Astyanax mexicanus: one gene and its partner. The protein of the gene in region 2 interacts with the protein of the main gene of each other region in a pairwise test. Links are inferred from orthologs where the notes say so. Each region holds a gene or a part of one and is shown on either strand. Other genes may lie near its edges. The genes, in order: cdk18 and ccnk.

What was found.
Region 1: the proteins of ccnk (region 2) and cdk18 interact in binary tests that used the Homo sapiens proteins (3 or more experiments, as listed by UniProt). The two-hybrid records come from large-scale screens. The link is inferred for Astyanax mexicanus from reciprocal best matches to the Homo sapiens genes CCNK and CDK18.

Annotation. Positions count from the first base shown.
Region 1 is NC_064431.1:6,533,496-6,549,364, reverse strand, and holds the start of cdk18 (cyclin-dependent kinase 18), read left to right. Parts: upstream 1-9,022; 5' UTR 9,023-9,267; intron 9,268-15,869. UniProt on the Homo sapiens protein: May play a role in signal transduction cascades in terminally differentiated cells.
Region 2 is NC_064408.1:54,980,878-54,997,151, forward strand, and holds the start of ccnk (cyclin-K), read right to left. Parts: upstream 6,169-16,274; 5' UTR 5,839-6,168; coding exon 5,642-5,838; intron 5,531-5,641; coding exon 5,449-5,530; intron 4,304-5,448; coding exon 4,172-4,303; intron 3,759-4,171; coding exon 3,653-3,758; intron 3,549-3,652; coding exon 3,491-3,548; intron 3,320-3,490; coding exon 3,150-3,319; intron 3,010-3,149; coding exon 2,807-3,009; intron 2,216-2,806; coding exon 2,182-2,215; intron 2,068-2,181; coding exon 1,999-2,067; intron 1,741-1,998; coding exon 1,166-1,740; 3' UTR 1-1,165. Other genes in the region: 24-hydroxycholesterol 7-alpha-hydroxylase, read left to right, coding at 7,239-7,415, 8,487-8,622, 11,961-12,135, 13,508-13,657, 15,244-15,337. UniProt on the Homo sapiens protein: Regulatory subunit of cyclin-dependent kinases that mediates activation of target kinases.

The DNA of each region.
Region 1 (15,869 bases), on a different chromosome or scaffold from region 2:
GTGGGCAATATCCCAGCAAAAAAAAAAAAAAAAAAAAAACGTTATAAGAACATTTCCACACGGTGCTTTTGCATGTCTCTACTGACCATCATTATATTTTTAATGAACATCATAAATAAAAAAAAGCTATTAATAACACTTTTTGTTGCTAATACAAGCATACGTTTCTCTATTTTAACTAAAAATCTATTTTCTCAGAAGATGGAGATCGTCAGACTCAACATTTCTTCATGTTTTATTAATAAATGATAGTAAACATTTTTTTTAGTCAACCTTGTCACATTTGACCCCATCACATTCTCCCCTTTCACATTAAACCATGTTAATTAAACCCCGTCACATTCAAACCTGTCCCACTCAACCCTGTTCAATTTAATCCCATTACATTCAACCTGTCACACTGAACCCCATCACACTCAACCCTGTCATGTTCAACCCCATCACATTCTTCCCTTTCACAATAAACCCTGTCATATTCAATCCCATCACATTTAACCCCATCAAACTGAACCCCATCACATTAAACCCTGTCACATTAAACTCTGTCACACTCAACCCCATCACATTTAACCCTGTCAGATTTAACCCCGTCACACTCGACCCCATCACATTTAACCACATCACATTCTACCCCGTCACACTCAATTCTGTCACATTCAACCATGTCAGACTCAACCATGTCACATTCTACCCCGTCACATTCAACCCGTCACATTCTACCCCGTCACACTCAACCCCGTCACACTCAACCCCGTCACATTAAACCCTATCATATTCAATCCTGTCACATTAAACCCTGTCACATTCAACCCGTCACATTCTACCCCGTCACACTCAACCCCGTCACACTCAACCCCATCACACTCAACCCCGTCACATTAAACCGTATCATATTCAAACCTGTCACATTAAACCCTGTCACATTCAACCCTGTCATACTTTACCCTGTCACACTCAACCCCATCACATTTAACCATGTCACATTTTACCCCGTCACACTCAACCCTGTCACATTCAATCATGTCACATTCTACTGCGTCACACACAACGCCATCACATTTAACCATGTCACATTCTACCCTGTCACACTCAACCCTGTCACATTCAATCATGTCACATTCAACCCTATCACACTCAACCCTGTCACACTCTACCTCGTCACACTCAACTCCGTCATATTCTACCCCGTCACACTCAACCCTGTCACATTCTACCCTGTCACACTCAACCCTTTCACATTCTACCCCGTCACACTCAACCCTGTCACGTTTTACCCTGTCACACTCAACCCTGTCACATTCAATCATGTCACATTCTACCCAATCACATTCAACCATGTCACATTCTACCCCGTCACACTGAACCCTGTCACATTCTACCCTGTCACACTCAACCCTGTCACATTCTACCCCGTCACATTCAACCATGTCACATTCTACCCCGTCACACTCAACCCCTTCACATTCTACCCTGTCACATCCTACCCCGTCACATTCAACCCCGTCACATTCAACCACGTCACATTCTACCCCGTCACACTCAACCCCTTCACATTCTACCCTGTCACATCCTACCCCGTCACATTCAACCTCGTCACATTCAACCACGTCACATTCTACCCTGTCACACTCAACCCCTTCACATTCTACCCCGTCATACTCAACCCCGTCACATTCAACCCCGTCACATTCAACCACGTCACATTCTACCCCGTCACACTCAACCCCTTCACATTCTACCCTGTCACATCCTACCCCGTCACATTCAACCCCGTCACATTCAACCACGTCACATTCTACCCCGTCACACTCAACCCCTTCACATTCTACCCCGTCACACTCAACCCCGTCACATTCAACCCCGTCACATTCAACCACATCACATTCTACCCCGTCACACTCAACTTCGTCACATTCTATATAGAGGTTCTGTATAGAGGTTCGCTGGGTTGGCAACGGCAGAAAGCGACTCTACCTTACAGCTTAAAGGTTTTTCTCCAGACCTGCCACTGGAGTGACTCTACATTGCTGTCTGGAGGTTTATTGGACTGGCCACTGGAGGAACTCTTCGTTACAGATTTCTTCTCTAGACCTACTGCTGGAAGTGACTCCACACTGCCTTCTGGAGGTTTGCTGGGTTGGCAACTGCAGAAAGCAAATCTACTTCACAATTCAGTGTTTTTCTCCACACCCGCCACTGGAGTGACTCTGCGTTGCCATTTGGAGGTTTACAGGGCCACTGGAGGAACAGTACTTCACAGCTCAGAGGTTGTCTTCAGGTTCGCCGCAGGTGTGAATCTACATTCTGTTTAAAAGGCTCTCCAGGGCTTCGCTGAGTGACTCTGCACAACAGCTTCCAGGCTTTTAGGCTGGCCTTTCAGACAACGCAGGTTCCATACCATGATTCCAGCTATTCGGCTCTGAGGCTGAAGAGTGGCCTTCAACTCTTAAGGACTCTGGGCCACTAAAATATCTCCAACTTATATTATTATATGGATGTATTATATAAGAAAAGACAGATGATACTTAGACTAAGTGTATATAGAACACTATTCACATGTATCAAGTGCACACAGTCATTTAATTCTATATACACTTAGTGTAAATAGTTTATTGCTGGTGTTTACACTTAGTGTAAATCACATCTAAAAATAATATTTGCACTAATAATATAATTCTTAGAAAGTACTAGAATTCTCAAAGTGTAAGATTTAATAGAAGACTGATAAAACAAACATAATACTGTATAAAAGTAGATTAAGCTCAATCACGTAGATAACTAATATGTATATATGTACCAGTAATGAATGTTTTATTTATTTAAAATTATTTTATCAAACCTTTTCTTTTTAATAGTTTTTTTTTTTATATTACTTATTGTTTTACATTTTTCCAATGTAATTGGAATTTCATTGTAAAGGACTTTGAGCTGCATTTTCATCTATGAAAGTTGCTATATAGATAAAGTTATTATTATTATTATTATTATTATTATTATTATTATTATTATTATTATTATTATTATTATTATTATTACTGTTTTGCAAACTTTATTAAAGGATAGAATCACTGTTGAAACTGTTGAATCTCTGGGCTGTTATCAAAGTAAAAGCTAGTGTTGAATGTTTTATAATGTTTTTAGTGTTTGTTTGTCACATTAAATAAGTATAATAAAGCTAAAAAAAACACAGGCTAACAATACTCACCTCTGAACTGCAAAAAAAATAGACTTTACCGCAGTAAACGACTAATGCTAATACTGCTCCAGTCTTGGTGCTGGAGAAACTTTAACGAGAACTTCAGCAGAGTGGCTTTACTGCTCCTTACAACCTAACAGGTAAAAGTATTTGATTAGGTGCACAGAATTATAGGGAACACTGACAGTTTTTGGGGAAATGAATGGATTTTAAGAGAACCTAATAGTGCAAAAATTATGGTATGTGTATTTACTGTACTAAATAGCCCATTAATTGGTAAAGATTTGGTTTGAAGTATGTTTTATAATGATCTGCATTGTAAAATGCAATTCCTAATTGCATTTTACTTTGGTACCACTTTAAAATAAGACTACCTTTATAAAGGGTTTATAAATGGTTTACAATTAGTTTATTAATGGTTAGTAACTAGGTTGTAAATGCCTTAAAAATCATTAATAATACGTTATAACACATATGTAGAAGGGCAACAATTACCTGTTGTTTGCCAAATAGTGAACCCACAGCCATCTATATTTTTACATTTTAGAGCTTTTCAGATACTCAACATACTTTGTCTTCTCCGTCTAACTCAACTTGCTTCTCCATCTCCATATTCTCCATCAGTCAACATCAGTTTAACCAGTTAAATCCCAAGTTTAACCATTCCACCACTAACTCTTTTAGTCATTTATAAACAACAGGTCATTGTTGCCCTTTCTACATATGTGTTATAACTGATTATACAACAGTTACTTCCGACCTCACAATCTGATTGGTTTAGAAGTGTTTTAGCCGTGATAATATTCGTGATTACATCACGGCCTTCTCACACTAAACTTGTATCACTCCGCCGACGCGTTGCCGAGTAACGGCGTATATACACACAGGACAGTTTGAATCATCGCCTCCACCGGCACCAACAGCAGCGTTAGCTTAGCACAGGCTAGCACTCAACCACGGCACGCTCACCTGCAGCGCTGACTCATGGAAAAAAGGGAAGGAAATTCGCTCGGCTAATGCCGTCTGACAGCCAGAACGCTAACTCAACCAGCCAGGCTAGGCTAAGCTACGTTAATGCTGAGCTAAAGCAAGCTACGCTGACTGCGAGTTTCTGAAGCGCGGATAGCTTGACTCCGGTTACCTACCCACAGTCCAGCCACACCGACAAGCTAACCAACACCACCCAGCAAAACAAACAGAAATACTCCAAAAATGCGCAGCGTTCACCTGAAGACAACTCCACAGAGCAGGAGAGGAGAGTATTAGCGTTATTTTACGCTCCTAATGTTACCATCTTCGCTTATTCCACTTATTCCTGCCTGAACCATACACTGTTTTGTAGTTAAGTTGTGGTGGAACTACTTTTTGGCGGAAGGCACAGTCCATATTAAAGCATATTCAAACTGAATTTCTTAAAGTTCTTTGATTTATTTTCTTTATTCATTTTGTAAAAAATAAACTGTTGTATAAAAGCAATAGAACACGAGAGGGAGTGTGTTATCACGAATAACATCACGGCTGTGATGATCTATGGACCGAATCACAGCCGTGATGTTATTCGTGATAACACACTCCCTCTCGTGTTCTATTGCTTAATTATTAATGATTTGTAAGGCATTTACAACCTAATTACTAACCATTAATAAATCCTTTATAAAGGTAGTCTTATTTTAAAGTGGTACCTTTACTTTTAACCATGCAATGCTCGAACCATTTTTCGTTGCATTTGCTGGTCTGCTGTGCTCAAAACAATCAGGTATGTCTAGGGCAAGAAACCAGAGGAACAGCAGCAGCACAATAGTGCACGTTTACTCCCGGCCTGCAGGGCGAGCGTCGTGAGAAAACCAACCGAAGGCTGCATAGTGTGCCTTTAATCTGATAATTATTTTAATCGATTGACACCACTAATAAAGAGCTTTTGAAGAACCCTTTAGTTTTAAAGGGTGTAAGGACATCTTGTGTATTCTTCAGGCTTGAGGATTCTTATCTCAACGTCTTCAGAAAAGTAGTTAGCACTCGTTTAGACATCTTCAAGTCTGTATTACAGGTACTAGTCGTTCTATTGCACAGTGTTATTTTATGGTAATGTGCTCACTAAGCCGTTATGTAACCACTTGCCTCTTATTGTGTGCGTGTAGTGTTTCCGGAAGGAAGGGTTTATTGTCCGTTGCGATGTCTTGGGCTGCTTTTGAACACTTTCATGTAACGCTTCACAGGAGCCCGGAGGAAATATGATTATCTCTCGTAATGAGACACTCTGCTTTGTACTCGGAACTAATAGGCTATAAAATGCTTTGTCTAATTATCGGTGACGATAATCTGGAATGAGTTTTTTTTTTCCTGTAGTTCCATAACTCTGAAAGTAATGATTGAACAAACATTCATATTCAAATGCCTTTCTTTGTTCAAAAAGCTATAATATCAAATATAATATGGTCTTATTTAATTCTCATTCCTTCAAGATTCAAGTAAAAGACCTGAGGGTAAACATTTCTTCCTAATTCCAAATAAAAATATGTATAGCATTTATTTGCAGAAAATGAGAAATAATCAAAATCAAGAAAAGGATTCAGCCCTCAAATAATGCAAAGAAAGTTGATATTCATTTAGAAGCAACAAAACTAACGTTTAAAGAGCTCAGAAATCAATATGTAGTGAAATAACCCTGATTGTAACACAGCTTTAATGTGTCAGAGCATGCTCTCCACCAGTCTTTCACACTGTTTTTGGATAACTTTATTCCACCCCTGACACAAAAAATCAAGCAGTTCAGTTTGGTGGTTTGATGGCTCGTGATCATCCATCTTCCTCTTGATTATATTCCAGAGGTTTTCAGTAGGGTTCAAGTCTAGAGATTGACCGTCAAATTATTTGAATGTCAGTCAGCAAGAGGAAGATGGCATCAAGTGACCTACAAAAAGAATGGCAGATGGCAGCAAGTCATGTAAAGCTAGAAAAAATTTTTTAAAATTAAAATCATCTTCTCTGATTCTTCTCTGAGTCCAATTTTTAGCTTTCTCCCAAACCTTGTTTTCTATTGGTTAGGCGGAGACCTGGAGAGCGGCACAAGCCACATGGTTATGGTTTAGGACCCTCTTGTGGATGACAGGAGATGATCTGGTGATGCTTATAATATATATTATATTATATTAGATATTCAGACCTGAACCCCCATTAAAAAAAAACCTCTTAAATGTAATCAAGAGGAAGAGAGTTGATCACAGGCCATCAAACAAAGCTGAACTGGTTAAAGTTTTGCGCCAGGAGTGAAATAAGGTCACCCAAAAGCAATGTGAAAGACTGGTGGAGGAGAACATGCATGAAAGCTGTGATTAAAAACCAGGGTTATTCCACCAAATATTGATTTCTGAGTATTTTTGTTGTTTCTAAATGAATCTGGATACATTTCTCATTTTCTGCAAATACATTTTTGTTTATAGAATAATTCAAATGTATTTTACATTACGACCCCCTCAGTGAGTGGATCAGATACAACCCCGAAAACACATTTTTCTAAAAACCATAATGACTATAATAATGTTAACTATAATAATGTTATATTGAGATTTTAATCTTGAAAAAAATGGGATTTGCTAGGTTCTCTAGTGAAACCCAGCTGCACATATAGCCATTGTAAATTAATGTTTTTTAGTAGGACGTAAATACATTAAAGTAAAAGCTTAGTTGGACTGGAGTTTGTCTGGAGTTCTCTTGAGTCTCTGCACGGATCATCTTCATACTAGACTACATACGTCTGCTATGTTCTTGCTGGAGTGTGGGGGGCGTGGCATCTGCAGGTGTGATGGATCACAGTATAAACCAATAAGGAGTCGGAATGGTATATATTTATACTTCTCTACATCCAATCACAATCAGATTTGCTCTATCTGGGTGGAGAGATTTATCTGGATAGGGTTTTTTTATGATGAGAAGCCAGAATGAAAACGAGCTGAAATGAAACAGGAGTAACGAGGCTATTTTAAAAATGTAAGAAGTAGAAAGTTCAGATAATTGCGTGAAAATTTAAGGGGTAGAAGCAAAATTTGTCTAAAAAATATAAATTACTCCAGTAAAGTATGGATAACCAATCAACAAGGTAACAAAGTATCTGTACCTCTTTACTTCACAGTTTTGGTCTTTCATCAGTGATAACTGGACACTGCCTATACAGGACGCTGTTGATGTACTACCCCGGTGAAAAAAAATATATACTTAGTTGTACTTACAACATATTGAGAAATTCATTTAGAGAAAACAGATTTGTGTACTTACTTAATATATAAATATATAAAATATATATAAAAAATACATTAATATAATGCTTTCTTTAAATGTTTGAAAGTAAACTAACAAGTACAATATATTGTTTTTTTTTTTAAATAAATAGAATACTCCAAATATACTTTTGTACATTTTTAGCAAAGTGTGTTAAAAACAACTGTTACAGTAGTTCAGTGTATCCTGTAACTTTTTAGAAAGTAAATTAAATTACTACTACTAATTAAATTTTTTTTAAGTTAATTTGTAACTCGCTAAAAATTGTAGTTAAGTATATTAAAATATATTTTTATACCCAACAAATTATACTGGAAGTGTGCTACTTACAAAGACAGGAACAAAAAAAAAACATATTTGTTAAATATATGTTAAACATTGATGTTAAATATATTTAACATCAATTCTAATCTACCCGGTGTATAATAGTGATACAGTTGTAATAAGCATATTATTTAAATTATAAGCATATATTTAAACTATGGGGTTACATACATGAAGCAGTATGTTTAAATGTTACTTAAGTATATTTAAAATAGTTCCATTTTAGTACAGTTAAGTACATTAAGCACAATTTAAGTAATACTTTTTTAAGTAAGTACTTTTTTATATTTTTATATTGTAATTAAAGTATAATACGTACAAAAAAAGTGGTTCCATTTTAGCACTCTTTAAATATACAGATTAATAATAAAGTGGCTACAAGAACACTTTAGTGCACTATAGCATAATAATGCTTAGTATATTTTAATCTACTTTATTTGTCACTAAGGTATTCTCAGTCCAGCAGTGACACTGTGGTGTTTAAGAACTCCAGCAGCACTGCTGTCTGTGATCCACCATTAACCACAACAAGAACAACAGTCACATGTAATGTATGTGTATACAGTTACGAAGTGTTCTATATGTCCTAGAAAATGAGGATGTGTTTAGAAAGAAGGAGGTGGTCATAATGTTATGTACGCATGTGATGTGAGGACAGAGCAAACATTCAGAGTGCATTCCGAGCCTACGGCTGCGGCAGAAAAGCTCAGCAGTCGCTTTAGCCGGCGCTGGTTATATATTTGCTATTTAAAGCAGCCACATACACACAAATACACACATGAGCACACACTGACATTCACACTGCAGGCAGAGTAGGCTCGTGCCAGGAGGCGCTGCGATTGGCCGTTGCTATAACAATAGGGGAGGGGAGACAGCCAAGTGGGGGCGGAGCTTGGGTGTGATTATAAAATCCTTTAGAGAGAGACACATTGGCTTCCTGTATTTTTTTTCTTTCTTCTTTTTCTTTTGTTTTTTTTTTCTCCTTTAGTATTGTGTTAAATTGCATGTGTCTCTTTGTCTCAGTCTCTCTCTCTCTCCATCGTTTTCTTTTCTCCTGAAAGGAGGAAGACAGGAGCTAGGAGGTGTGGGAAGCAGCCTGTGGTGACAGTAGTGACAGTAGTGATAGTGTGGTAGTGTGAGGTTGCAGGGTGTAGAGAAGGGGAGGAGTGTGTGTTTTGTGGGGGGGGGGGGGGGGGGGGGCTGATGAGTGGACAAGTGAGAGCGTGAGCCCGTGTCCACTTCACGCCTTCTAAATAAGACGCGTCCAGTTGTGGATTATCTGCGTCTGCTGCCACAGAGCTGGAGGCCCCCACCCCCCCGCCACCGGCGCCCGCCTCTCCCTCTCTCCCTGCCTCTGCCTCTCTCTCTCTCCCTCTCTCTCTCTCTCTCTCTCTCTCTCTCTCTCTCTCTCACTGGCAGCAGTGCAGCGAGAGACGGGCTCCTGCTTCTCTCCCGCAGTCCTCTCCACTACTGTAAGTATGAACTCACACACACATAAATACACACACACACTCACAAACTGGATTGTCTGTGCCGCGGTTGATGGGGGAAGTTGGTACTTTTATCTGAGGGCGCGAGTCACGCTTTCAGGAGGCTCGTGATGGGAGGCGTGCGGCGTGTTTAGTCTGCTGACTGTTGACTAATTCAATGAGCTGGGAGTCTGTGGAGGAACAGGCAGGAACAGCCATTATTAGCATTAGTGTTAAGTGGGGGTGGAGGTGGGCTGCGGGTGCTGGAGTGGACACATCAAGACATGGTGGGAGGGAGGAGTTTGTGACTTTGCTGAGATGGGAGACGTTGTTGTGTTTGTATGTCTAAAGTATCTCCAGTATCTACAGTATCTATATCCTTGTTCCTGAACCGAGCATATAGGACACTTTGTAGTTCTGTTTGTAGTTCTACTGGAAGTAAACAGCAGATTGTAGTCCTGTATCTATATGTTCCTCTGTATACTTTATTGTGGATCAGAGACAGCAGTGCTGCTGGAGTTTTTAAACACCTCAGTGTCACTGCTGGACTGAGAATAGTTTACCCGCAAAGTCCTGTGGGCAACATCCTGTGGCCAATGTGTGTATTTGGACATGTATATGTACATTATATCTTTCTTTCTCAACCAAGCATATAGGAAACTTTATAGTTCTGCTGAAATTCCTACTGTAAGTAAATAACAGACTGTAGTCCTGTATCTATATGTTTCTCTGCATACTTTATTGTGGAGAAGAGACAGCAGTGCTGCTGGAGTTTTTAAACACCATATTGTCACTGCTGGACATACAATAATTCACCTGCAATGTCCTGTGGGCAACATCCTGTGGACTTGTGTCCTAGTGGCAGCATATTGGTACTACTGATAAAGGACTAGAGGATGACCAACACTGTGATCAATGTGTGTGTTCAGATATTTATGTACAGTATATAGAACTTTGTAGTTCTCCTGGAAGTAAACAACAGATTGTAGTCCTGTATCTATATGTGTATACTTTATTGTGGAGAAGAGACAGCAGTGCTGCTGGAGTTTTTAAACACCACAGTGTCACTGCTGGACTGAGAATAGTTCACCAACAATGTCCTGTGGGCAACATCATGTGGACTTGTGTCCTAGTAGCAGCGTCTTGTTTCTACTCATGAAGGACTAGAGGATGACCAACACTGTGACCAATGTATGTATTTGGACATGTATATCGTTGCTGTCCAATGAAAAACACTTATCTCCATTTTTGTTGATTCTTCGATTTTTAATTTACTACACAACAAACTGTCTCTTACAGTGTGCCAAAATGTCTTGATGAATAAACCTGAAGGAATAAACTCTTTTTACATTGACCTCCATTAAAAGTTTACAAGGTTTTTTTTCTCTCTCCTGTAAAGTTGTTGGTTTAGAGATAAGTGTTTTTCATTGGACAGCGACGATATGAACATTATATCTTTGTTTCTCATCCAAGCATATAGGACACTTTGTAGTTCTACTTGTAGTTCTCCTGGAAGTAAACAACAGATTGTAGTCCTGTATCTATATGTGTATACTTTATTGTGGAGAAGAGACAGCAGTGCTGCTGGAGTTTTTAAACACCTCAGTGTCACTGCTGGACTGAGAATAGTTCACCTGCAAAGTCCTGTGGGCAACATCCTGTGTTCTAGTGGCAGCGTCTTGTTCCTACTAATGAAGGACTAGAGGATGACCAACACTGTGATCAATGTGTGTATTTGGACATGTATATTGTCGCTGTCCAAATAAAAACACTTATCTCCATTTTTGTCGATTTTTAATTTACTACACAACAAACTGTCTCTTACAGTGTCCCAAAATTTCTTGATGAATAAACTTGAAGGAATAAACTCTTTTTACATTGACCTCCATTAAAAGTTTACAAGTTTTTTTCTCTCTCTCTCCTGTAAAGTTGCTGTTTTGGAGATAAGTGTTTTTCATTGGACAGCGACGATATGAACATTACATCTTTGTTTCTCATCCAAGCATTAAACGCCACAGTGTCACTGCTGGACTGTGACCACATGGTCCATAAAGAACTAGAGGCTGACCAACAGATTCAGAGCTTCTGTCTCTGAGTTGTATACATCTAGAAGGTGGAGCACCTATAGAAGAGAATTTCTAATAGAGTGGAGGACACATTTTTTGTGGTGACGGACAGTTCTGGTGGAAACAGGAGAGTTGAGGTGCACAATGAATTCTGCTTTGATTTGGGCAGCCATGGTTTTATGTTTTTCGGATACAATCCGGGTTAGCACCCGAACATCCCTTTCAGACAGCTTCCTCTTACAGCGTCCACAGTTAATCCTGTTGGATGTGGTTGGTCCTTCTTGGTGGTATGCTGACATAACCCTGGATACCGTGGCTCTTGATGCATCACAAAGACTTGCTGTCTTGGTCACAGATGCTCCAGCAAAACGTGCACCAACAATTTGTCCTCTTTTGAACTCTGGTATGTCACCCATAATGTTGTGTGCATTGCAATATTTTGAGCAGAACTGTGCTCTTACCCTGCTAATTGAACCTTCACACTCTGCTCTTACTGGTGCAATGTGCAATTAATGAAGATTGACCACCAGGCTGCTGTAATTTAGCCATGAAACCGCCAACATTGGTGACAGGTGTTTCAGTTTCATTGTCCAACCCCTGTATATACAGTTGAATGGTTCTTGAACGGTGGAACTAAAGCTAAAGCTTCTTTGATGAGATGACGCGTTAAAACACATGTACACACACACCTAGCGTCAGTTAATCACACTAATGGGCGAGCGAGAGACCAGTGGTATGGGCTGAACAATAGGCTTCAGGCTCTACCTAATTAGCAAAAAGAGTACAGCTATAAATAAACCAGCAGCGCATCATCATCATCATCATCATCAAAAGCGAGACACACTGAGAACAAACAAAGCTAGCTAGCTCTGAGCACAGTCACGCACCGACACACACACACACGCACACACACACACTCGTCCCTAACTTGACAACAGGGGAAGTGCGTGCCCACTGCTAAACTTCTCACGTTTCCCAGAGCTAAAGGGGAGGATTACTGCAAAATAAGCACCACTTATTACAGGCGAATTACTGTTTGAACAGCAGGAACAAAGTGTGAATCCAAGCTAAGTATAAATGCAAGAGACCTTCCGTCTCGACTTTCTAAAAAAAAAAAAAAAAAAAAAACAGTTTGAAAGTAAATTTGTTCATCTGATCAGTCGCGTCGTTTGAAGCTGGATGAAGCTTTGAGCTTCAATCATCGTCACAGATCATCTTCAGAGAAACAGCAGAGTCAGCTGTCCTCAAATGAACTTTCTGAAGTAGTCCTCTAAAGTAAACTAAAGCTTAAGAAGAGTACTGATAGTGCAAGTACAAGGCTCTAAAGTAAAGGCTAAGTAAAATACATTGGTTCATATTATTGGATCCACAAAAAAAGAAGGGATTGCATGTATATATAGGACTATATTTTTTATTTATTTGCCATTTTGGTAACAACTACCAACTAATTAGTTTTACACATTCTTCATTATTGCAAGAAATGATACAACTCATCCATATACAATCATTTAACCAAAGACAGATGCACTTATGTGGGTCTTCACATACAAAAAAAAAAAAAAAAAAAAAAACGGTAACACTTCCTATGAACCCTGTATTCATAATGCCTTATGAAGTGTAATGTTCATATAAATTGTATAATTGTATACAATGTAGTGTTGTAATGCACTATAAAACAGACTTAGTATATTTTGGTATAATGCTTTAGTGTTTTTATATGCTTTTTAAACATGAAGTAAATGTTATTATGCCTCACTGTAGGCATTTGACAAGGCATTTGAAAACACACTTTACGTAAAGCCAGTAAAGAGCACTCATAATGCTCTATAAGATGTTACAGTGAGGCACACTAAAATTTACTTCACATTTTAAATGCATATGAAAACTCACTTCACTTATAGTCTGTAATGACTGTATATAAGGCTTTATAATGTGTTACACACTTTTATAAAAGCTTAATTTGAGAAATTATAGCAGCTATTAGAATTCATTATACCAAAACATACCAAATCTGTGTTCTTATGAACAGATATTACAAGGCCTTATAAGCTGTTTCTTTATAAACCCTTATACTTGTAGTTTATAATGTGTTATGAAGGTCGCTGTCAGTACTTATGAGCAATTATACAGGCTTATTACAGTCATTATAAGGTATTATGCATGTCATATAACGCATTTTGAATGCATTTATAATGCATTATAAATACAGGGTTCATAGGAAGTGTTTCCAAAAATCCTCATGTCATTACATTTGTTTTAGAATCACTTTTGTAACGAATCAAAGAACAGATTTTCCCATTTTCCCCTTACTTTACTTTTACTTTTATACTTTAAATAGATTTCAATCCAATACTTTTACACTTTTATTTGAGAAAAAAAATGTTGAGTTGATACTTCAACTTCTACAGAAGTATTTTTAAACCCTATTATCTATAGTTCTACCTACAGAGTAATGAATGTGAATACTTTGACTGGACAGTGTTTAGCCAAAAGTTAGTCAAAAGCTAACATCTCACAATCGCTGCTGCTATCTCATTATTTTTGGCCTGTCATTATATATGTTTTTTGTTATGTGTGTCTACTGAGTCTATTACCAAAAAAAGGTTTCACTCTCGAGTCAAAAAACACTTTTTAGTGCTATATAAAACCTTAAAATGCTTAAAATTAAAATGTTTTTTTTAAGCAAAAGGAAAACTGCTGTGCTGCTCGCTTATCTACCAGCCGTGTGATATCAGCACCCAGGTCTAGACTAGTCTCATATACTACTTATCACATATGAGGCAGAGAGTCAAAAATGACTTGCCGTTCACTCGTACCTCTACCTCACGCAGTTCCGCTCCAGTACTGATGCAGTAGCTGTACTGAAACTCTTTGAGAAGGTAATTGCAGATAATTGCACAGTTGAATCTCAGTGAACAGTGACAAATAGAGGGCTTTATTGCTTATTGAAAACAAATTGCACCTCACTCTTAGCCAGCTGAATAGAGTGGGAGAAATTACCTCGGAGGAATGAAATGGGCAAATTCCTAAATGAAAAAGCTATTCAAAAGACTGTGGGTAGAGGAGGGTAGCTGTTGAGTCGGCTGGCAGGAGGTAGTCTTGGTTTTGTTGGTCTCGATGTCTCAGTAGGGAACGAGATGATTGGGAACTGAAGCAAGACAGACGTTCAAGAAGGCTGTGTTATCTGGTAGTTGTCGTCAGCAGTGATGCAATAAAATTTACTTTAAACAAAATAAATAATTTGGCTGAAGCAGTGCAATTTTACCAACTCCAGCAGTGCAATTTTAGATATAAATGTACCTCAGCGGTGCTATTGTAATCATTAATGTACTTAAACTGCTGCAATTTCAGTCATAAATTTACCACAGCAGTGCTACTCTACTGAAGTCACATATTAATGAAATTTACACATTGAAAGGCAGATAAAAATCTAAAAAGTGAGGGCAAAAGTATTCAGCCCTCTTTACTCTGAAACCCTTAAATAAAATCCAGTGCAATCAATTTCCTTTAGAAGTCGTAATTACTTAATTAGTTAATAGAGTCATGCAGAATTAGCATCTGTATGTTTACCAAAAGACTGACTTTTGGTAAACATACAGATGCTAATTCTAAATTAGCTCAGCTCGTTTTGTACAACTTGTACAGAGTAAGGAGTAAAGAGGTAGTAAACGTCTTTCTTTCAACAATAGTTTTCGTCTTTTCACTTTTCCATAAAGGCCAGATTTGTGGACAGATTCTCCTTCCTCCTGAGCTGTGGATTTCTGCAGCTCCTCCAGAGTGAGCATAGTCCTATTGGTTGGCTTCTTCTCTGACCAGTACTTTCCTTGCTTGATCTCTCAGTTTGGGTCTACGGCCATGTTTTGCCATGTTGGTTTGCAGTTGTTGAATACTTTTCTTCATTTTACTCCATTTTTGGATAATTTATTGAACATAACCCTGATTATAACCTAACCCTGCTTTAAACTTCTTCTCCACAACTTTATCTTTGACCTGTTTGATGAGTTCCTTGGTCTTTTTGATGCTGTTTGTTAACTAGTGTTCTCTAACAAACCACTGAGGTCTTCACAGAACAGATGTTTATATTTATACTGAGATAAATTTACACAGAGCTGGACTCGATTAACTAATTAACTGATTTTTGATGGAAATTGATTGCACTGTACAATTTTATTTAAGGGTTTCAGAGTAAAGAGGGCTGAATACTTTTGCCCTCACTTTTCAGATTTTTATTTGCTTAAAAAGTTGAAAAACATGCATAATTTTTGTTGCACTTCACAATGATGTGCTACATTGTGTTGGTCTGTCACTTAAAATATTGATTTAAAAAATATATGTTTGAGGTTGTAAGATGACAAAATTCCATGGAAGTCCATGGAGTATGAATACTTTTGCACGCCACTTGTAGAATGTAGAGTAGAATGTAAAAATGAACTTAAACCTGCTGTTTAAGCCTACCAGCTCTCCTGACCGTCCCTCTCCCACACTCCCTTCCCGCTCTGTACACAGCCATTTTCCCATTTTTTTTTTTTTTTACCAAAT
Region 2 (16,274 bases):
AAATTAAACAGAGATGGGTGGTGGAATATCAAGGAAGGCATCATACAAGCAATGTGATAGAAGTTTTGAGGAAAACGCACACGCACATATGCATGTGCACACATCCGCGCACACACACGCATCTGCACACGTATGGTTTGGTAAACACTGCAAGCCTACATTTTGCCTAAGGCACATCTGGAGAAGCTTGAATGAAGATTCAAGTTCAAGTCTCAAGTCTTCAAGTCTCCAGTTCTTACCATAAACAATAATTAAAAATGCTCTTTACACAAACTGTGGCTACAAATCAAGTTAATGACGGAAGAGTCTGTTTAGTCCATTTAGGTGTGATGGTCACTTTTAACTTGTTTATATGAAAAAGATATATTTTTCTTGCATCCAATTGTACAGTAGCATAATAATAAATCAAAAATAACTATCATTAACATGAATGTTCCTGATTATACAATTTTACTGTACATATGTACAAGTGACAATTCATGCTACCGTACAGCACCAAACCATTTCCTCTAGAGATATGTACAGAATTTATGTACCAATCTAATCAAAAAACCTTCCCCTGAAAAATTTTACTTTTATTATTGGCTCTATTTCAAGAAAAAAACACTATTTGCTGTCTTCAAGTCTTAAAGTCCAACAGTGTTAGGTGGTCAAATGAAGCATTCATCAGTTACTGGTTCTATTGTATTATGAATAATAAAACAGATTACAGAACAGTAATATATGGAGCCAAGTCAGTGCTGTCATTTTAAAACTATTTGAGTTGTTGGGACACATTCATGAAGCTTTCTAGAGTAAAAATAGATGTCATTAAGGATCAGATTCCTCTCATATTTACACAGACCCTACTGATGTCCTACATCTGCATTTTAGAAAAAAACAAAAGCAACCCCCCCCCCCCCAAAAAAAAAAAAAAAAAAACATGCTAACGTCACATATATATAATATTTCTAAACATGAAGATTCTACATCTATATCCTTAAAACAGAAATCAGGCAAAAATCAAATAAAGGTTAATAGTGTAAGTCATGAGTTTCTCACAAACAAATAACATGACTAAACAATACAATGACGTTCTGACCTTCCTGAGTTAGGTGACTGATGATGCTTTTGGTAGACGGTATTTTGAAATGAGCTTCAGCTGCACCCCTTACACAACCCGTCTTCATCTCATCCATGCTCCGCGATTCATCCCAGACACTGGCGGCATGCCAGGGGGCATGGGTACCTGCGGCTGGCCTGGGGGGACTGGCGGAGGGGGATACCCAGCAGGAGGCAAACCTATTCCTGGCGGAGGAACCGCATGTCCTGGGGGCATGCGAGGGGGAGGAGGAGGGTAATTGTGATTGTAGCCTGGTGGAGGGTAGGCCGGGGTGGGCGGTGGAAGGTTAGGAGGTGGGTAATTTGCAGGTGGTGGAGGGCCAGGAGGTGGAGGGTTTGGAGGAGGGTAAACGTGCGGGTGATAAGGCATTCCATATGAAGGGGGCATAGGGGCATATGATGGTGCATCTGTCTTCATCATGGACTGCAGACTTTGGAAGCCCTCACCCGACATATATGAACTAGAAGTGGACATTCCCATGATGTAGCTGGAGGGGGGTGGAGGTGGAGGCCGATGAGGCAGAGGCGGTGGAGCTCCATGGGGCAGAGGAGGAGGTGCCTTGGATAAGTCTGAGTCAGCTGAGGCTGCTGGTTCTGTCTCTGTTGGAGGGGCCGGGGCTAAGGGTGGGCCTTTGCGATCTAAATAGAGAAACATTTAAAGTATTGAAGTAAAAAAATATTAACCCAAATTTATTAGTGTAGTTTGTTTAAACTAAGTATTAAGCTCGGTTTTACAACCATCAATACATGAAAATGTTAAAATTATTTAAAGAACTTCAAAGATGGTAATTAAATAAGTCAATTATATTTTGAAACTTTTACTAGGTAATTTGGTTCAGTTTTCTTAGACAAGTATTAAACCTAACCCTGGAACAGTGCAACAACTGAGGTTTTTACCAAGTAGCTGAGTAACTGGTAAGGGAGGCATTGGACTCTCTAGCCGTGGTATTTTAGAGCCAATTTGCTCTGCAAATAAAAACAAAAAAGGTTTAGCATGCATGAAGTTAAACAAAAACGTCATTGACAAACAGCACATTTGTAACCAGCTTAAATAGTTCTAGGAAAAAAGCCGATCTATACCTGTGGCAACTTTTGACTCTTCTTTTGGCGAAACCTAAAAAAAGAGGATTAAAAATAATTTTCAATACATAACTAGCAATTCATTTTAGTGGGGAGTACTGTTCATGACTAAAGATAAAAATGCTTACATCCTTGACAATTATGCCTCACTTCATGCATATATGCATAATCAGTCATGGGGCATATAACTAATTTTCACAATGATGCAAATCCTGACTGATTATATAAGAATGCTTTTTATTATGAATCCTGCTCTTGGTAGTATCCCTTACAAGTGGAGAAGATTTCCAATACAATTCGTGCAGTTGAAGAAGAAGTGGCATTTTAGGGTTAGAGTTACGCTTGGGTAAGCCCTGAATCTAAAAATCAAACACTTCCTTCATGGTGCAGCTATTTTTTCAACAATTAACAGTGTATTTGTATGTTCGCTACACATCTCACAAGCCATCTATCTGTAATGGACATGAAATAAAAGTTTAAACCAAAAATATTTGACATGGTACAAATGTACAGCTAAGCATTAATAATCTCAACATATTTACTTAAAATAAAATTAATTACATATACAAACATTAAATTAAGCCTTTCAACCCAACAACTCTGACAAAATAAATATTCAACTAACGTGCTGTCGTTTAAGCTGCCGTGGGGGGCTGGCCTGGGGAGAGTTTTTCTTAGGTGGAGGTGGAGCTGCAGGGTTTTGACCTCCAGACTGGCCTGGCTGGCCTGCAGGAGGTAGCGGTGGCTTGTCTTTCTCCTGCAACTGGGGCTGTTGTGGAATGGGCTGCTTGCCCTGAGAATATAGATCCAGGATTTGGTGGCAGATATCTGAGAAAGAAAGGCAAGCAATTATCTTTCAAACTTGCTATAAAGACTTTTGTGTCATCTTGTTCAGTTTTAGCACTCCCATAACACACACACACACACACACACACACACACATTTAAATACACATTAAAGCATCCTACCCTCCAACAGCTCCACAGGAACATCTTGCACAAACTGTTCCCACCAGCGACGGGATGACTGCTTGGAAGTCCATTCCTGAATGTCAAACTTGCACAGACGACCAGCCAAGTACATGACAGCAATAGCTATAATCTCTGGCTCCCACTGAAGAGACAGCATTGTGCAGAGGCTGGAAAAACCAAACAAAATTGCTTATACCACACAGTCTGCTTAATCTTTAATATTAAAAATGAATAATAATTCCCTAAATTTCACAATTGCAGATTGCTCTAATTTACAATAAACCAAACAGCTCTCCATGAGAAGGACAATTAAAATGCAGGTTGGTTTTAATGCTAACCTGTCATTCACAAAGGTCCAGGCCATTTGCACCAGCTTCTGCACTTTGTTCTTGTCTCCTGAAAAACAGCAGTTAACAAGACAAACAAACATGCAAATAAATAAACAAACAAAACCTAAATGTCTGTAATGCAACATCAAAAATGGCACCAAAATCATATACCTTTGAGTTGTTTGGCATAACGCAAAAGGAACTGATATGGATGCTCTACTTGCAGATCAAACTTTATTGTCTGAAGCAATATTCTCTCCAACACCATAACTTCTTCCTGTTAATAAAAGTTATACAAACCAAACTATTCACAAAAATCAACATTTACAGTACAGTTTGAGGTCAGAAATAGGCATGTTTTCAGAATCTGAATGTCTTCAAATCAAAACACTACAAAGTAAAAATGTAACAAAAAACTTAAATGTACAAGTCCATATGTTACATATGCCTTTTAGAAAACAATTTAAGCTAAATGTATTCAACTAGAGTGTTTGCTTCTTTGCAGCATCCTTCAAGCTATTTATTTTCAGAATAATGAAAAAACAATTAAACTGATCCAGCAAATATTCCAATGTGTAAAATGCTGACAAGACTGTAATCTCAACTTGTTTTACTACTTACATATGGAAATAAAATAAGGTGCTGAATACTTACAGACCTTACAGTATGTGCTTCTGACTCTATGTTTACCTTTGGATCATCCCCAAACTGGGCGAACTGCACATCATTAAGCAGGCTGCGAGCTGTTTTTATTATGTCTTTGCACTTTTTTGGAGTTTCCTCAACCTTTCCAGCCAAGAACAGACAGCAAGCCCCTGTGACCTGGAAAATTAAAGCAAAACAACCTCTTTCACCTAAACTGTTGTAGGACAATGTCAAGCAACATAATGATAAATAACCGTATTCCAACGGTACTGTTATGCTATGTTTTTTTAGTTGATAAGAAAATAAATGTTGACTTGTCACAAGTTTGTTAAAAGACTGTGCCAGTAACCCACAGGCATCCATGAACTCTTTCCACTTCTCGCCCCTCATCCCAACAATACTGCCCTCCATTAAAATATTACTAAATCATAGCTTATGAGAGATATTAGGTAAGACTCATGTGAAGCAGAGGTCACCAATATGGTTGGGCAGGACTGTCCTACCTGGACTTGTAAGCAATTTTAAGATGCCCATTTTATTCCTTTCATTTTTTTTATTTACTTGACAAATTAAACCATTTACTGAATATTAATTTATTGATCCGTTGTGATTTAAATTGCCATTGTCATTATTCAATTGCTGACTACATAAAATGTTGAGATAACCAAGCTACTTAATATACAGGATTTGTAAGCTTAATGGAAAGTTTTACATGTTGCCATTTAGGTAAGCAACTATACATTTTTTTTTCCTATATCGCTCTTTAAATAAAAAGTGTTACACTTTTACATTAATTTGTTAATTATTTGGAAAAACACTGGAACTATTTATCCCCTTGTTATTAAAATACTAATAAACCACGTTATTACACAAAGTCTTTGACCATTATCTTTATGTCAATAAATATTTATTATTAATTAAAATGCCTATTACATAAAAATAACATTTTAATTCATTAATATCTACAGACCCCCCAGAGTCCTACAAAGACAGAATACGACCACTTTGGCAAAACTACAATGGCAAAAAGCACATCACAAATATAATTATAAAATAATATATAATATGATATATATATATATATATATATATATATATATATATATATATATATATATATATATATATATATATATAATAAAAATATAATTATGGGCAGTATGCATCTGACTCCTGTTTTTTTTCTTCACAAATTTTTTTACAAACAAATCAGGAACTGTTTGTACACTGTAAATAGGATCCAGTGCAAATCTGGGGTGGTTTATCCCCATACCTACAGTACTGTTTCAAGACAGTGTTACACAGAGCCGGACCACACTTACATATCTCGGGAACTGCTTGAAGGAATGAAACATGTAGAAGCGATGGAAGTAAATAATCCCTGTGGCCAGAGTATCATAGTGTCTGTTGAAGGAGGAAATGTTAAGGGTAAACAGGTTAAAGCGGTAAGTCGCGCATCAGCACACAGTAATACAGGGTTTTAAAACAACACGAGCAGAAGGAAATGAAGGATACAGTCCCAGTCGAGTTCCAACGTCGAATATGAAGCGGGCCCCCTCTCTCCGGTATCGGGCCTCAGTGGCCGGATCCAGGCCCTCGGACTGGGATGGGGTGTGGGCCAGGTCCTTCTTGTCCCAGTACCAACATGGCTTGATGTGGTCCAGATTAGTGGTCAAGCTGCTGAGAGCGGAGTTCTCCTTGTTCTCCTTCATTTGACACAGATCGGAAGTGCTGCTCACAAAGCTGGAGGCACAAAGAGCTGCTGCTTCTCCTCAGCGCGGCCGGCGGACCCGCGGCTCCTTCTCACTGAAGCTCAGCTCCGCTCCTCTCCCTCAGCGCCCGCAGACTCTCCCGCAGCCCGGCCCGGAGCACTGTGAGAATACCGGCGCTCTACACCGCGTGCAGCGCCGCTTCTCTGAGCTCTCTTTCACACCTGAACACAGGAACACACACACAGCCGCACCGCACTCTTCCTCGCGCGGGGAGGACGCTTCAAACAGATAAGAGCGACGGTCGCCCCCAACTGGTGGAGAATGATTCTCCTCCGCTTGCTGCCTCTCCACTCTCTCCACAATCTCTCCACTCTCTCCACAATCTCTCCACTCTCTGCACCTCATGCCTGGAGCTCCCACCAACATGTGGTGGGATCACTTATCAAAGTAAAAAAAAGTATATACACTTAACTGGCATTAATTAGCATGCATATTGAACACAGCTAAACCTATGTGTGAAATCCTACATTATTTTTTTATGTGTATAATAACAATAACAACAAAAATAATAATAACAACAATAATAACAACAACAACAACAATAATAATAATAATAATAATTATTATTATTATTATTGTTTTTATTATTGTTATTATTATTATTATTGTTATTATTATTGTTTTTGTTGTTTCTGGTACAATGGACTACACAGTATTTTCATTGGAGATTTTCCATTTAAAGGAAAATAAGTAACAGTTTATGCTTTTTAAACTTTGTGATCATTGATGACACAGTTCATTTTGTTGTTAACTCTATCCTATTATGAGGAAATCTATAAGGGGAACACATCACATTTTCTTCACTGAAGGGGATCACTTTTTACCACAGTCAGTGGGGCCGTTTATATTTAAGTGAAGTTTAAAACAAAATAATCAATATTGAATTGATTGAATTAAGTTATAAATGTATAGGAATGAATGGAGATAAAAGGCTAAAAACTAAAATCAGTAAACTAAAAACCAGTAACTAACTGCTTGTCCAGGAAATGTCTTTAATTCTAGAAAGTTGATGAGCTGATTATGAAGTAGCAGCCAGAGCACGTCTGAAAACGTATAGGCTTACATGCCTTCATTACTGAAATATTTACTGTGGTTCTATATTTAGAGAATATTTTTTAAACATAGATGAGCTCTTGTTTTGATTATTTGCTCCATGTGAACTCATTTACCCGGGGAGACTCTCTGGCGGGTATTCCTCCGGTCAGTGTGGGCTGCTGAAGTAGCGGCGCCTGTCCTGTAGGGGAGTCAGCCTGGTATACTGGCCCTGTTAATATCGGTCCCACGACTGAGGAGAAACCACTAGCCGGACAGGAGAGCGTTCGTTAAACTACTTAACTGTGATGGAGTGGTTTACCCTACTTCTCTTAGTGACTGTCGTCGTCCTTTGTTTTCGGCTTCTCTTCCTTCAGAACAACCCGAACGCCCCTCCGTGCATCAGAGGATGGATCCCGTGGGTTGGAGCTGCCTTTGAGTTTGGAAAAGAGCCTCTGCATTTCATTGCACGTGCAAGAGCTAAGGTAAGCGTCTCAGTGTTAAAAGCAGCACGTCCTGCAGACCTTATATTGTCCAAAATGCCATATCAATGTTAAATTCCTACTGTAACAGCTTTTTTATACCTGTTTTTTATATTTTTATAGCAAGAAGGGGCACTGTAAAAAAACATGATGGATATGTTTTTTTCACTACAGTTTTTTAGGAGATGCACTACATTTACAGACTTTATAAGATAAGTTAAAGCAAACACATCGACTGTTGTACAATATTACGTATTAATGTTTCACAGTTGTCAGTGTTGTTTCACATTAAGGAGTTTTGAATATATAAAAGTAATAATATAAAAATTAATCTGCAGTAAAATCAAATCTAAAATCAGATTATCATGGATGTTATTTACAAGTCCCTAACATTTCATGTACTCCTTATAAATGCAGCCTCCTGAATAGCCAGATGTTAATGACATCACACTCTGCTGATCTTTAGAGGACTATGAAAGGTCAGAAGTCCAGCTCCTCCCCTTTCAGCAGCAGTGTTGAGTGTCTGTGTTTGGACACACAGAAACACAGTAGAGTTGCTGTATCATAGTGTATCATAGTATCGTTGTGAGCAGGTAGAAGTGTTGAGAGAAACACTGATGAGAGACAACATTTATTTTAGTTGTCAAGCTATTTCAGCATTGTCTTTTAATTTAGACTCAACCACAACATGAGTAAAACAACTACAACATACAATTCTCAGAAAGTAAGTTTAGCTAACAGCTTAACATTTAAATTTGATTGATGCTTATTCATTTTGATAAGTATTTTTGGTATGATATCTGCAGAAGAAAAAAAAGAAACATAATTTGTCCATTTCTTTCTATGGGATAGTAGATAAAGACAGTAGACAGTAGTCTAATTTCAAAGGCAGTGGACTTATTTAATTATTTGAATTTAAAACAGACAGTTTTAAAGTTTAATGTGTTTCAACAACAACAAACTACAACAACAACAAAACTAAAGTTATAGCTGGTCTGGACATCATGCAGCATGTAAATAGTATTTTGTGTTGTTGTTTATTCTTCTAAATGAGCATGCTGTATTGTTTTCCAGTATGGGCCTGTCTTTACAGTTCTTGTTGCTGGGAAGCGGCTGACCTTTGTTACGCTCCATGAAGACTTTCGAACCTTTTTCATGTCCAAAGATGTTGATTTTGAACAAGCAGTGCAAGAGCCTGTTCGCAATACAGGTAATCTTCTTTGCTTCCCATGACTCTAGTAACTCGAACTGTGTTTGCAGTCATTTGTGTTTGTGTAAGTAATATATATATATATATATATTTTATATTATATTATATTATATATATATATATATATATATATATATATTTTTTTTTATATTATATTATATTATATATATATATATATATATATATATATATATATATATATATATATATATATATACACACACACACAGTACATGCCAAACGTTTGAACACACCTCTTTTTCAATGTGTTTTCTTTATTTTTATGACTATTTACATTGTAGATGTACTTAACAAAAAATATTCTATTTTTTTTTAAATAGCCACCCTTTGCTCTGATTACTGCTTTGCACACTCAGTGTTGCCAACTTAGTGACTTTGTCGCTATAATTGGTGAGTTTTCAGACACTCTAGCGACTTTTTTGTAAAAAAAAGCATGTGCTGCCGTGAGCCCCGCCCCACAATACTCACAGTGCAGTCTCTCACTCAGAGCACACCCATACCGCACTACGAATACACTGTATATCAACTGCGTATGCTCACAGCCGCCACTGACTGACCCCGCCCCGTATTTACAGAACAGGATGTAAATATAAAGGTGTCTTCAATGTGACACGAACAGCAATCACTACATTTAACTCACAGTCTCAGTCAGTCACTTACCTCATTCACCACACAGCCTATCACTCACCTTGTCCACAGTGTCTGCCTCTTTGTAAAAAGCTAAACATCTAGCTAGCTAGCTCATCATTGAACAATTTGTCTATAATAGGTTTGAAAATAAAAAAAACTTGAAAAAAAAACAAACAAAAAAACAAAAACGTAGAAATAACATTTAACCACATGTTGTTTATTTGTTATTTGTAACATTTGGGGTGTTTTTTTTTTGTTTTTGTTTTTTTTACTTTTTTCTCTCCCACAACCCACAACATTAATCCTTTACAGCTTCAAAAAAATGTATTATGCAAATTAGGCGATGGCGTAATTTAGTGTCTTCTAGCGACTTTTAGGACAGTCAATAGCTACTTTCCTGAGGAGCTGGCCACACTATGCACACTGATTACTGCTCTTGGTATTCTCTTAATGAGCTTCAAGAGGTAGAGTCACCTGAAATGGTTTTCCAACAGTCTTGAAGGAGTTCCCAGAGGTGTGTAGCACTTGTTGCCCATTTGCTTTCACTCTGTGGTCCAGCTCACCCCAAACCATCTCAATTCAGGTCCAGTGACTGTGGAGGCCAGGTCATTCAGTGAGAATCTACAATGTAAATAGTCATGAAAATAAAGAAAACGCATTGAATGAGAAGGTGTGTCCAAACTTTTGGCCTGTACTGTATATATATATATATATACAGGTGCTGGTCAACGAATTAGAATAATTTGAAATAGTGCAATCATGAAATTCTTTGAATGCATTTTTTGTGCAGAAAGCAAATCAGGTGTTCACCGCACCTGTCCTACTCGTTAGACTAATCACAGAACTCGTTACCTGGAAAACAATTTGCTCAGCTGAGCTTTCCAAAAGGCCCATTTAGGCCATTTAACTGTGACACTGTTGTTTTATTGAATTAGAATAATGGAGAAACCGTTTCATTGAATTAGAATAAATGCTCGAATTTTTGTTTTCTGTGAAGAGTGTTCACTGTGCAGTATAAAGTCAGGGTTGAGTAGAATTTCTAAGTTGTAAAATCAATCATGGGTAAGCAGCGCGACCTCTCAACCGGAATAGTGGCTCAAATTCAAGCCCTTCGCCAACAAGGCTTGACCCAAACTAAAATTGCTGAGCAGCTCGGCATCAGCCAGTCTTCCGTCTGCAAAGCTCTCAAGAAAAACTGCAGCAAGCGCACCAACTGTTCCGCCGTCCGAAAAACTTCTGCTCGTGACAACAAGCAGCTGAGAAAGATCGCAGTCAGCAACCGGTTCAAGTCCACTTCCGAGCTCACCGACTTGTGGAACAAGCAGCCCGGCGCTGACGTCTCCAGATCAACCACTTACCGTCGTCTGCGCGAACTCGGCTTCAAATCTCGCGTTCCAGCAGTAAAACCGATGCTGAACAAGAAACAAATGGAGAAATGGCTGAAGTGGGCCAAAGAACACGGCGAGTGGACTGCTGAAGACTGGCAGAAAGTGGTCTTCAGTGACGAATCACGCTTCTGCATCTCCTTCGGTGACCAAGGTCCTCGTGTCTGGCGTCGTGGTGGTGAAACCTACAACCACGAGTGTGTGAAAAGATCCGTCAAGTTTCCCCAGAGCGTTATGGTCTGGGGATGCATGTCCGCTCGAGGTGTAGGGAAACTCTGCTTCCTCAAGAAGACTGTCAATGCTGCCGTATATCAAGATGTTCTGGAAACGTTCCTGATTCCGACTGTTGAGGAACAGTTCGGCGAAGAAGACTTCATATTTCAACAGGATCTTGCACCGGCTCATGCGGCAAAGTCGACCAAAGATTGGTTCACTAAAAAACAGCTTGAAGTTTTGGCATGGCCGGCCAACTCGCCTGACCTCAATGTCATTGAAAACCTTTGGGCCATCGTCAAGCGGAAAATTCGCGACAGAAAGCCTACTACGCTGGACCAACTGAAGCAGAACATCGCCACTGCCTGGGAAGCTGTGAGTGCGGAAACTTGCGACAAGCTGGTCAAATCGATGCCGCGGAGACTTCAGGCAGTCATACAAGCCAAGGGGGCAGCCACAAAATACTGAGAAAGTGATGATTGTAATTATAATAAAAATTATTCTAATTCAATGAAACGGTTTCTCCATTATTCTAATTCAATAAAACAACAGTGTCACAGTTAAATGGCCTAAATGGGCCTTTTGGAAAGCTCAGCTGAGCAATTTTTTTTCCAGGTAACGAGTTCTGTGATTAGTCTAACGAGTAGGACAGGTGCGGTGAACACCTGATTTGCTTTCTGCACAAAAAATGCATTCAAAGAATTTCATGATTGCACTATTTCAAATTATTCTAATTCGTTGACCAGCACCTGTATATATATATATATATATATATATATATATATATATATATATATATATATATATACAGGATGTGTATATGCAGTAACTTGAAAATAGTATGTTTTTAAGAAAACAAATGGTAAAACTGTGGGCAAGCAGTAAGTGTTTAGAGTTAAAATATACACACAAACAGTGCAATGTCAGTTGCATGTACACAAGCTAGTGTGATGACTTTTATTAGCTAAACAATTTTTACTACTTTAGTTTGTCTGCTGTTGCTAATTTTAATACATTTAAGGCATATTCTAAATATTGAGTGTTGTGGTGTAGCTATAACAGCTTGGCATGCTTTGGGTTTCTCCCCAGCATCCATTAGCAAAGAGAGCTTTTTTAAATTCCATCCAGCCTGTAACACAATGATTAAAGGAAGACTGACACCAGGCAACACAGCCTTGCTGGTGGACCACCTGTGTGAAGAGTTCAACAATCATTTGGAGCTCTTGGGGAGGAAAGGATCTGGTTCTCTCAATAAGCTGGTCAGGTACAACCTGTCACATGTATTTTTTCACACAAGACCTTTTTCTTTTTCAAGAAAGTGTCACAGCCAAGCATATATAACATATTTATAATTTTTGTCAGTGTCTGAAGTGTAAAATCAAATCTATATTCTTTTCATTTAGATTGTATATATGTAATGTAGGCCTGTTATGATAAAAAATAAGCAATTATTGGATACATTTTATTGTAATTTTAAGACCATTAATTGTCACTGACATACACTGCCTGGCCAAAAAAATTAACTAAGCAAATTATCTTGGTTTGCTGCAGTTTTTTTACTGCAGAAAACCAAGAAAGAGTGACTCAGAGAGCATGAGATCATAACTTTCACCACAGAGTTCAGACCATTTAAAGACAAAAACATTTTAATTAATCATACATTGGAAAATATGTATTGTTTTCTTCACCTACTGCAGTCTGCACTGTGTGTATAGAGACATGGTTCTTGAATCATTGATCTGTTCACTGTTCTACATGTGAACAAACACAAAAAACACAATAGATGGTATCAGAATAAATATTATTGAGGCAGCTGGCTGACATTGAAGAAAAAAAGCCACATATACATTAACATGGCCGAAGTCACAGGACCGCAGTTTGTAAATTCATAATAAAATGTTACCTCAAGAAACAGTGTGGGAACACCTACTCTTGTATACGTTGTAAAGCGTTCTCTTGTGAGTGAGGCTGATTGACATGGTTAAGCCAGGTGAATTGTGGGAGTTGAAGTAAGATCTGATAGAGGGTGCCAGGTGGATGAAACATTCAGTTTCTGAAAATTGTGTCAGGATTTTTACATTCCTTGGTCCACAGTGTTACACGTGTATAGGGAATACATCACAGAAGACATTACTACCCGCAGTTCCCAGCATAAATGTTGACATCTGGCTAGAATTGTCTTATCCACATTCAAAGCAAAACACCTCACTAATCCTGCAGGTTAGTGCAGCATTATTCTGATTGCATGGGACACCGAAAATGTCTCATTTAATTGTTCAGTGGTGTAAAATTGTGTTTGCACCATTATTGATTTCTTTTTTTTTTGCATGTTTGTCACTCATAAATATTTCAGTTCATTAAACAAATGAAAAATAGTCAAACAACACAAATAAACACATGCAGTTTTTAATTGAAGGTTTTTATTTCTAAGGCTGGAAAATACCCAACCATATACAACCAATAGCCCCAATTCCACTTTACAAAAAAAGATAAGAGTGAACACCTTTTCCACACCATTGTTTATTTAACACACCAATATGGCATGCATACATTTTTTAAGAAATTGGATTAAATTACATGCTATTGTCTGAACTGTTTGAGTTTGGTCACATTTACATTTACTCTTTTCTTTGCAGGAGTGTCATGTACCCAGCTGTGATGAGTAACCTATTGGGTAAATCCAATTCACCCAAGAGTGCCCTGGAAAAGCAAAAGTTCATTGAGAAGTTCACCACTTATGATGATGGATTTGAGTATGGATCCCAGCTCCCTGATATGTTTCTAAAGTTAGTGACTGGCCAGTGTCCTCATAACCTATTTGCTCAGTCAATAAATGCACTACTGCTCTTGTTTTATTCCACCCCACAGCTGCTGCACTGAAAGATGTATATGTAGTTTTACCTTTTTCCTTTTTTTAAGAATTTGACTAATGGTAACACCATATACTCTCATCTTAAAAATAATAGTTGCACCCAGAAGGAGTCAAATGACAGGAATTGAACTTGGTGGGCAGTTTCAAATAGTTCAAATACAATTTAAGCAGTTAAGAGTTTGAGAGGAAGCTCATCCCAGAGCTAAGGTTAGGTTTTGGGTAAGGGTTATGGCTAACGCTCTGACCTTTCCTACTGGGTGCAAGTATTTTTTTTTATTTAGACTAAATCATATTTAAAGCATAAATACAGTGATATGGAAAAGCCTGGGCACCCCTGATAATTTTCTTGATTTTCCTTTATAAATCGTTGGTTGTTTGTATCAGCAATTTCAGTTAAATGTAGTCAGGTTTGATGGTTTATGAGCATGGACAGCCTGCTTCAAATCACACCACAAATCTTTAATAATATTCAGGTCTGGGGACTGAGATGATCATTACAGAATGTTGTACTTGTTCCTCTGCATGAACGCTTTAGTAGATTTAGAGCAGTGTTTAGGGTCTTTGTCTTGTTAAAGTATCCAGCCCCGGAGCAACTTTAACTTTCTCACTGATTCTTGAACATTGTTCTCGAGAATCTGCTGATATTGACTGGAATCCATGAGACCCTTAACTATAACAATATTCCAGTACCTGCACTGATCACACTGCCCCACAGCATGAAGAACTACCACCAAATTTTACTGTGAAGAGCAAGAGTTTATCTTGGAATTCTGCGTTCTTTTTCTTTCATGCATACCACCCTGCAAATAACTAAATTTTAGTTTCATCAGTCCACAGCACCTTGTTCCAAAATAAAGCTGGCTTGTTTAAACGGTCTTTAGCAAACCTCAAGCGACTCTGTTTGTGGCGTGTGCTCAGAAAAGGCTTCTTCTCTTCTTGTGTAAAGTGCTCTGAATAGCTGAATGATGCACTGTTCTCACCATCCTTCTCCAATGATTATCTGAGGTCTTAACTAGAGCTGTGCCTGTGATCTTCCATTTTCTCTCTATGTTCCTCACAGTGGAAACTGACAGCTGAAATCTCTGAGAGCTTTTTATATCCTTCCTGATGTTTTATATCCTTCCTGATGTTGAACAATCTTTGATTTCACATAATTTGAGAGTTGTGTTTTGAGGCCCATGATGCCACTCTTCAGAGAAAATGCAAAGAGGAGAAAAACTTACAATTGGCCACCCTTTTTTTATAATTGAATTTACCTGTGTGTGTAGGTCAAAGGTCAGTGAGCTTACCAACCTATTTTTGTACTATTACTGCAAAAGTATTTAAACCAATATTGCACACTTTCTGTAAATCCTACAAACAACCAATGATGTAAAAAGGAAAATTATGAAAATTATGTATGTAATGATTTTCTGCATCTCTCAGTTAAGCTGTAAATAATGCATCTCCTGCATTTTTATTTTGCTGTCTATATGTAAAGGAATTTAATTTATTGGACAGGGAATGGGCCAGTGCTAAGGAGTGGCTTTTGTCTCTGCTGGAGAACATGATTGTCAGAGCAGTGGATAACCACTCTAATGAAAGTGGGGGTGAGGTAAGTACACAGAGTTATGATTTGTTCATTGTAGGGGATACAACTATTTTAGAGCCAAATAAAAACAGCTAGTGTGTTAGCAAAACGTGTCCTAGAGGGACAGTGCTGATAAGTAACTATTCCTGCTCAAACACAGATAATTTGGTTCATTTGGATAGGACAGCTAACTGGAAATTGGCAGATTTTGTCTACCTACAGAACAGCACAAACATGAGCTGGTTTCTGTCATAACTGCAGAGGACATTACTAAAGATGTATGTATAAATATAATAGAGCAGTAGTAGCATTCCAAACTAATGTGCTAATTGTGTCTCTCAGAGAAGGGGTACATGCCACAACTCACCACTGTCCACACTGCTGTTTTGTCTCGTGCTTGACCTTGATCTTTTCTAAACAAAGCAACAAGCCAAAATAGATGCAGCCCACACTCCAGCAAGAATATCTACCCACCTGGAGGGAGCAGGGCCAATTGTGCTCCCTCTGAGCGCCGGCAGCTGATGGCAAAGCTGAATGAGCGGGGATTCGAACCTGCGACCTACAATTTTAATGTTTTTTTTTTAGTAACAATACTAAATGAAACTGCCTTATATTCTGCTTGAGTATAAGGACTCAAGAGTGGGCAATTTCTGATGGAAATTTGCAAAATACCTAAACATGTTTTTACTCAGATTTTCATAAAACTTAGCTTTTTTTCACCAGCAGCGCCTTAGTCTGCTGGACCACTCTGAACCCCCAGTAGTGCTTTTCTACTCATAAATTTTAAAATACCTCAGCACTGCTAGTCAATCACATGTGAGCGAAATTTAAACACACGAAGGCAGCCAGTCAAACAAATGGTTTAGCTTAGTTAGCCCTGTAAAATGGCAGTTTGGTAAGAGGTAAACTGAACGCTTTGCTTAATTTAATTTATGCAAAAGTAGAAATGGACTTAAATCTG